Caenorhabditis elegans: one gene and its partner. The protein of the gene in region 1 interacts with the protein of each later gene in a pairwise test. Each region holds a gene or a part of one and is shown in the gene's direction. Other genes may lie near its edges.

Region 1 (3,926 bases):
TTTTGTTTTCATCAATCGGATTTTTTTTGATTTTCCGAACAATTTACGGAATTTAACACCTTTTTTAATAGTTATTTGAAAGAAAACTACAGATTATCTTCGATTGAGCTTGAAAAACCGCGAGGAATACGTTTTAGTCTTTTCTAAAATTATATTTTGTTAAGTTTTCAAACAAACCAAATTTTCCAATCATCATTCATTTCTTGTGATCTGTTCAGCGTTTTGATGTTCCTTTTAAATCTTTGCCGAGGTAATGCCACCACTCTTTATTTGTTCGCTCATTCCTATTCACCATTTGTTCACCATTTCACCATTTTTCGCAAGAACAAACGACGCGCAGACAGTTATACAGTGTCCCTCATCACACGTTTGAATTTGCGAGCTTCTTCGGGTCCGGCCGACCTTCAACATGTTGCTTAGACGCTAATAAATCACTCCATTTGACAGTAGTTTGTTGGTTTTCACTGGTATACATTACTCGATAGAATCTATTTTTTAGCGCTCATCTTTGTAGAGGATGAGACACACAAATTTTCTGTTTTTTTCTCGCTTTTCTGTAAGGGCCTTTCTCATCGAAACTAGGCATCAGACGCCTTTCCAATGCGATTTCGGAGTTTTATCACCCATTTTCCATCAATCTGAAGATCATTTTAGGTGAATCTGTTCTTCGTAAACCGGCAGCACTTTAGTTCATTGGAGGCCTTCTTATCTGTCATTATGTTCCACTTTAGTGGTTATCTGAGCGAAAGCTATGTCTAAACTAAAATGCATAATTCAATTCTCTAGTTACCCAATCTTCCAAAATCTTGGTATTCAAATTATCTTGGTAGTGGTGCTCTCAACGTGAAATATTTTTCTTGGAGCACTGTTTGTTGGAATTATAAACAAAATTGTTGCGGTCTGATGTCACTGGGAAAGTGAGTATTGTCGGAATTTGCTCTTTATTTTTCTTTTTTATTAGCTGCAATATTCAGTTTCACATATATAAAGAAAGGCAATAAAAAGCCCTGACGCTTCACTGTGTTGCTGGAGATTCAACTTTTCGTCTTCATTTCCAATATATGGTCTGCAATGATCAAAACGATCATTCAAATTTTAGAAAAAAAAAGCGTCTCGGCTTTACATATGCCACGCGGCCTCCCACTCTCCCCATTATATTGTTTTATCGATAGGTCATTTCTTGCTTCTGCTTCACCTTTTCAAACCCATTTCTGTTTGTTTGTTGGCGTTAAATATTTCATGAATTAATCCTTTTCAGAATTACACAGTTTGTGCCAATCGTTGGGGGAAATTCTATAAAAGGATTAAGCACTTTGCCGCCCCCCCCCCCCTCGTTTGTCTCTTTAAAAGAAACATTTAAATTTTCAAACATTATACTACATCCTACGTTTTCTCCGTGAGACCATGCGTGGCACTAATCTGTTCCAATCCATTTTCATAGTTTCCCATTGCTTCCTTCCAAGAATTTCCGTCATTATTCCGAGCCATGAAAGGTAAATCACGTTTCAGTGTTCGAGTTTTTCTAGACAGGAAGAGGAAAACGTGTCGCCTCGTGTTCCCTTCCAATGAGTAATCGTTGTTTCCGAAAAGAAATGCTTCAAAGGGGAAAATCATGAAGACATGTAATTTTCGAAGAGAAAGTGGCGTGTAAAAGTTTATTCTTCAGCCTCAAACTTTTCACGTATCTTTTACTAGCCTATCACAACTACAACTAGTTTGATGACATGCCAAATATACATAATCCTGTTGAAAAGTGTCAAGAATGTCGTTGTTATCAAATTATTACCTCACGGAACAACAGTGCAAACACACTTGTTTCGAAATTTGTTCAAATAATGTTGCCTTTCGTGTTTGCTTTTTAATTTTCTTTAAACCGTTCAATAATACCGCCAAAAACAGTGATAAGGTTGTGCCCTCATAATCTTTCATCACTGAAACGTCGCACGTGATATTTTCATTTTCAGCTGTTCCTCTTCGACCTTCCCGAATGGTGAAGAAGCGCCAAAACTCCAAAAAGAGCCATAGGATCAATCAGCCTCCGGGCTCAACTAGTAAGTTTTGATTTCGTCTGAAAATTTAGAATTTATTTTTTTCAGAGGCTAAAACACCGCCGTTTTCCGATGGAAGCAGGCCTACAAGCCGACTGAGCAATCCATCCGATGTAGAGAATGCCGGGCACGCTGATGTTCCATCAAAGACGAAATGCAACGCACAAAAACCACAGGTGTTCGGAAACAAAAGCTCGCAATTGAACATAGCCGCTAAGCCAAGGAGTAATGGAGCACATTCGGTTAGTATTCAGCAATATTATTTTTTGTTGAAAAAATGGAGTAGCGTGAATGAGGATTTTGTTTCAAAAATCCAAAATCGCCTGAATTTCAGAAAAAAATACCACAAATGAAAGACGGAGAAAATCACAAAAGAATGAAAAAAGTTTAGCCAAATTTGAAAAATGGCGTTTTAAAAGTTCGATTTTTCTTCTTTGGCTTTTCTGAATTTGTGACTATTTTGGATTTTTTTTTGAAACAAAATCCTTTTTTACGCTACTCATCTTTTAATTCAGTCTCATATCCGAACATATGTGCTCTTTTTAGATATCTCCCGAGCCTAATGTCTCTGAGCGATGTGTTGATTCTCTTCCAGTGTCCTCTATTTCGTCAAGCCGTCTCGATGATACTGATGTTCACATTAGGGAAATGATATCTGAGTTTAGGCTAGTTTATTACCTCCAATACTTCAGAAATGATTGATATTGTTTCAGAGATGAGATTGGAGAAGAGACGACACGACTCAAGGCGATTGCTGATATCAACTACATGATTGGCAGTACAAGCTCGTTTTTCCAGCGCTTTACCATTCGTAAAAAGCTCCATTGTCAGTTTGCCTTTCTGTTAAATTTTGGTGTTAAAATGTTTTCTTTCAGCATATGGATTCCTTTCCGCCCTCGCAGCTCACGCCGATCGTTCCCCTCAAAGTAAAGCCATCGACGAAGAAGTAAATATGTATTTACAGTCAGAAAGTCGAGATGCTCGGATAATGGGGCTTCACGACGACAATAGCCAACCGATAGAGATTCTTACGCGAATTCTATCGAAAACTAGCGACCAGCAATGGGAGAACTTTGTAAGTTTATGGAAAATTGAGTAAAACATTATGGAGGTATGGGGAATTGAACCCCAGCCCTCTCCCATGCTAAGGGAGCGCTCTACCACTGAGCTATACCCCCGCATGTCATGTTGAGTGTTGAGGAAGAATGCGTACTGGAGGTCATAGTTTTCGTAAACTTCACATGAGAGACGCAGACATACCCGCGATAGTGTCTTCGGGTCTGATATAGATGAAACTATAATCTTTTTTTTGCAGATTGGTTTGCTGGAAACGATTGAAAAATCGACTGACATTGGTGCAAGTATTTCCGGGCTTCGTGTCTCCTGTTCTTCGAATGTTCTCACAAAAGATTCTGAAACTCAGACAGATGTGGTCCAGCGGAAATTGAACAAGGAAAGGAGGGAGCCTTCTCGAAATTTTCATGGTATTCCGGAAGAATCGGCAGTTTTTTGCGATTACTCGACATCCGATGATGAAAGCAAACTTAGCTCTCCGGATCCAACAACGCCAAATTCTATCGATTCGAACATTAATTTGAAGAAATGGATGACTGCAATGGATTTACCAGCGCAAAGTCAAATTGGAGGAAACCATGCGTTTTTTCAATCAAACTTCTCCACTTCGACGTTTTCGTCTGATGATGATGGACCTCTATCGCCTGTCCACGATACAACACTTCAGGTTATCACTGAAGTGCTCTCAGAAGAAGCAGAAAGTTGTGAAATGCACACAGGGTTAGAAGCTTCACCATCTGCAGTTTTTCCGGACAAAGCGAATATAGCCTTTATCGATGAATCCACTTCTGCTTCTCCGTTGGA
Region 2 (3,747 bases), on another chromosome or scaffold:
TGTGGACGGAACACATTCTGCGTCAACAGAAAGAGCATCTTTGAGCAATTTTTCTGCTTCGTTGCGAACCTGAAAAATTAAAAGATGAGAGAAACTGAATATTTTTCAGTGTTATAACGCGTTATCGCATCAATTAACTCACGTCCTGCCCATTTTCAAAAAGACGAACCACTTCTTCAGCTTTTTCAATAAATAAATCAAATTCGTCTTTTTCTTCCATTTATCTTCATTGGGTTAGGTATAAATATGATGTTATTTTGTAGAAAAACGTTTCTAACAAAGATAAAAATCTAAATTTGAAAATTCGCTTTTATGGTCGTGGCCTAGAAATTCGAACTGTGGCTGCTCTATCGCCCACGGATGTGTACTCCTCTCGAAGTATATCTGAATTAAAACGGCGCGAATATGACTCATCGTTCCTTGCCGTCTTGTCTTTATTTATTTAATTGTTTTATCTTTTTAATTAGCTATAACTTCTTAATTAAATTGGAACAGATTTTTTTCTTGCTCTACTGCATTCTTTATTTCTTAAATCCAGCAGAAACGGCCACTGCTTCCTTTTTCCCTAAAATTAGACTTTATCGAATTTGGCTCTTTTCCGTTGATTCAATTTCAATTGTTGATACATTAAACATATCTCTAATACTACAAAACATAACATATTAAAAATTAAAAATTAAAACATTACCTGTTTCAGAATGGAATCGTTTATTGATCGGATTACCGAAGAGACCGATGAAAATTTCCGCATATGTCGAGAAAATATTCCCAATTTTGAAACAAGTACGTTTACTTTTCTTCACAACTTCTCGCATTCTTCATTATCACTTCTTTCAGCAATCAGCCCTCTCTTGAATACAATGAAGAATATCAAGTTGTTACTAGATGATGCAGCTTTTGATCAACAAAAATTGGAAAACAACTGTGAAGAAACATGTATGAACTGCACCAAAAGTCAATTGAATGATTTTCTCGGAATCAAAGTTGAAGCTTCCACGATTGTCGATGTGAAATCACAATTGGTACCTCAAAGTAAAGAATCATCTGCTCTTGTCGAAACCAATGAACCGAATGAACAAGGATTATCGTCTAAACCGAAAGAAAATGATATCAGAATTGTGCCACAGATAACGGATGAAGAATTCAAAACAATTCCAAAGTATCAACTAGGCCGGTTAACGCTGGAAATGATGAATGAAATAGTGAGCAAAATGGATGATTTCCTGATGAAAAAGAGCAAAATCCTGGGGAAAACTAATAAACAGCTGACAAGGAGCGATAGGGAGGTTTTGGACAATTGGCGAGAACTTGTAAGTTTGTTTTACTTGTTTTATTGAAAATAAATCTATAATTTTTCAGGAAATGAAAGCAAGAAAGAGACTTCCAACAACGTTATTCTTCATAGAAACCGACATTCGACCAATGCTCCAAGACCGTCTTCGTCCATCATTTGCCAAAGCAATTCCGTGCCTTCGTCACATTCGTCGAATTCGAGAAGAACGATGCGGACCGTTGACTTTCTATTATCCATAAATTCCTTACGATATTTGTACATTTTTCAAACTGGTCTCAACGTATTAAATTTCTCTGTCAAATAGCTAATAAACGGATTTCTACTTCAAATGATCAAAAAAATTTATTCTTCAATTTTTACACCTTTGTTTTGGTGAATATATTCTACTTTAAAAATATTATTGTTCTGATTAGAAATATGAATTTTTCAACATTTTTAAAATTTATCAGAATGTCATCAGCTCGACCAATGGCTCCACCACCACCAGCTCCAAAGCCAGGACGAGTGAAAGTTTATCGAGCACTTTATGATTTTCAAGCCAGATCTGTAAGCTTTAATTTGAAAAAAACAACCCAATTATTGAATAAATTCAGGCTCAAGAGCTGACATTCAGTGAAGGAGATCTAATGTACGTCAGCGACGAGCAGCCGAACAAAGATTGGTTCCAAGCAAGCATCGGAGGCAAAAAAGGATTGGTTCCAGCTAATTATGGTGAATACTTACAGCACAATCAGGAATGTTTTGCAAAGCTGCGGCGCGGTTCGATGAGAAGCGTAGATTAATTCACATGGTTTTACAGTTTTTAGTTAAATTACTTGTTTTTGAACTTTTTTCGTCAGTTCATTAGTACAAAATCATTTTTAAATGGCCATGCATCAAACCGCATCTCAATTTTGCAAAACCGTCGTTCCTCCTCTTTTATAATTCGAAACTGCACCGAGTTCATCGAGATTTCTAGAAATTCCAATATTTATTTTTTCAGTGATCAGTGAGAATGTGGAAGAGCTCCCGAATCCCCTACATGAAGCTGCTCGACGTGGAAATATGGATATGCTGGCTGAATGTCTTCGAGAGCGGGTATCCGTCAACTCCCTCGATAAGTCCGGAGCTACACCACTTTACTGGGCTTCACATGGTGGACACGCGCCAGCAGTGGATACGTTGTTGAAGGATCCAAAAGTTGCAGTTTCGGTTCAGGTTTGTTGAAATATTCTTTCACATGTAACGAATCTCTAAAAATTAAATTTTCAGAACAAACTCGGTGATACGCCTCTTCATGCAGCGGCCTACAAAGGCCACGTGGAATGTGTGAGACTTCTTCTCGCTTCGTCAGCCAATCCATTTGTAAGGAATCAAGATCAAAAGCTGCCGAGTGATGTGACAAAAGTAAATATTGTTTTTTATAGAAGTTTTCTATAGAAAAAATAATTCCAGGATGCTGATATCGCTGCTCTTCTAGACAAAGCAATGAAAGAGGATCGTGTGAATGAAGAAGAGTATGCTGAATATTTGTCAGACTCGGATGCTGATTAAGACTATTAAATTTGCAATATTTATTCCTTTTGACATCTTGTAATTATTTCTCAAACACTTGTCGATATTTATTGAAACTTTGCCCAACCTGTGATAAACTTTTTTTTCCCTCTATTCTCCTTTTTCAAATACTCGTTTGAATCGAGGTTTTCTTTACTTTTAATCTTTCTATTTCAGAACTAATGCTATTCAAGTATCGTAGTTTTGCTTTTTAATGTGTGAATAGGGATTGAGAAGTCTTAAATTAAACGATTCTACGACCACCTTGAAATAGATAAGCTGGGTCTCGTCGCGAAAGTCTAGATTTCTCTAATTTTGCGGCTGAATAACGAGTAAATACAGAAACCCAAAATACAAATGTTTACTCATTCCATCAAGTTATATATAGGCATAATCGGATGGTTCACTGGTGTGATAGTCGTTGGTGTAGATGTTTGGGCTCTGAGCAGCATATTGATGATGAGAAGAGACAACATCATTCGTGTTCCATGCATATTGCGACGATTCACTTTTTGGCGGGGCAAAATATTGCTGATTGTCCATAACTGAGCTGTTCATTGTCAGTTGATTCGGGTTCTTCTCGAGCTCCGCGGCCTTCATGGTGCAATAGTCCGACACAACGTGGTTGCGTTGCTCAAAAGCGAGTTGTGAATCAACGATACGAATGATCGCGTCGCCGTCGAGTGGGACATCGGCAATGAATTGTGCCTCAAACATATCACTCTCCGATGCTGGAAGAACGTCGGCGTCGCTCTCCAAACTAGCATCCATGTAGAAGCTCTCGACGTATGCCATCTTGAGTGAGCTGCAAAATACTTATTCATTTTTTTAAATGAATATTAGATAGGAGATTCCGATTATAGTGGAATATCAAGAAGAAATAAATGTTAGAAAATAGCAGTGGCTAGAAGAATCTCCTA

The links.
Region 2: the proteins of inft-2 (region 1) and Y106G6H.14 interact in a two-hybrid assay, tested with the Caenorhabditis elegans proteins (one large-scale study listed by BioGRID).

Annotation. Positions count from the first base shown.
Region 1 is NC_003283.11:13,000,355-13,004,280, forward strand, and holds the start of inft-2 (FH2 domain-containing protein), read left to right. Parts: upstream 1-1,961; 5' UTR 1,962-1,987; coding exon 1,988-2,051; intron 2,052-2,096; coding exon 2,097-2,290; intron 2,291-2,594; coding exon 2,595-2,713; intron 2,714-2,761; coding exon 2,762-2,874; intron 2,875-2,923; coding exon 2,924-3,123; intron 3,124-3,145; exon of another isoform or gene 3,146-3,232; intron 3,233-3,363; coding exon 3,364-3,926.
Region 2 is NC_003279.8:10,471,386-10,475,132, reverse strand, and holds Y106G6H.14 (Osteoclast-stimulating factor 1), read left to right. Parts: upstream 1-1,743; 5' UTR 1,744-1,744; coding exon 1,745-1,840; intron 1,841-1,887; coding exon 1,888-2,005; intron 2,006-2,276; coding exon 2,277-2,491; intron 2,492-2,545; coding exon 2,546-2,680; intron 2,681-2,728; coding exon 2,729-2,827; 3' UTR 2,828-2,937; downstream 2,938-3,747. Other genes in the region: Y106G6H.16 (Dynein light chain), read right to left, coding at 1-69, 143-220; ska-1 (SKA complex subunit 1), read left to right, coding at 699-783, 838-1,310, 1,360-1,533; Y106G6H.13 (Reverse transcriptase domain-containing protein), read right to left, coding at 3,206-3,622.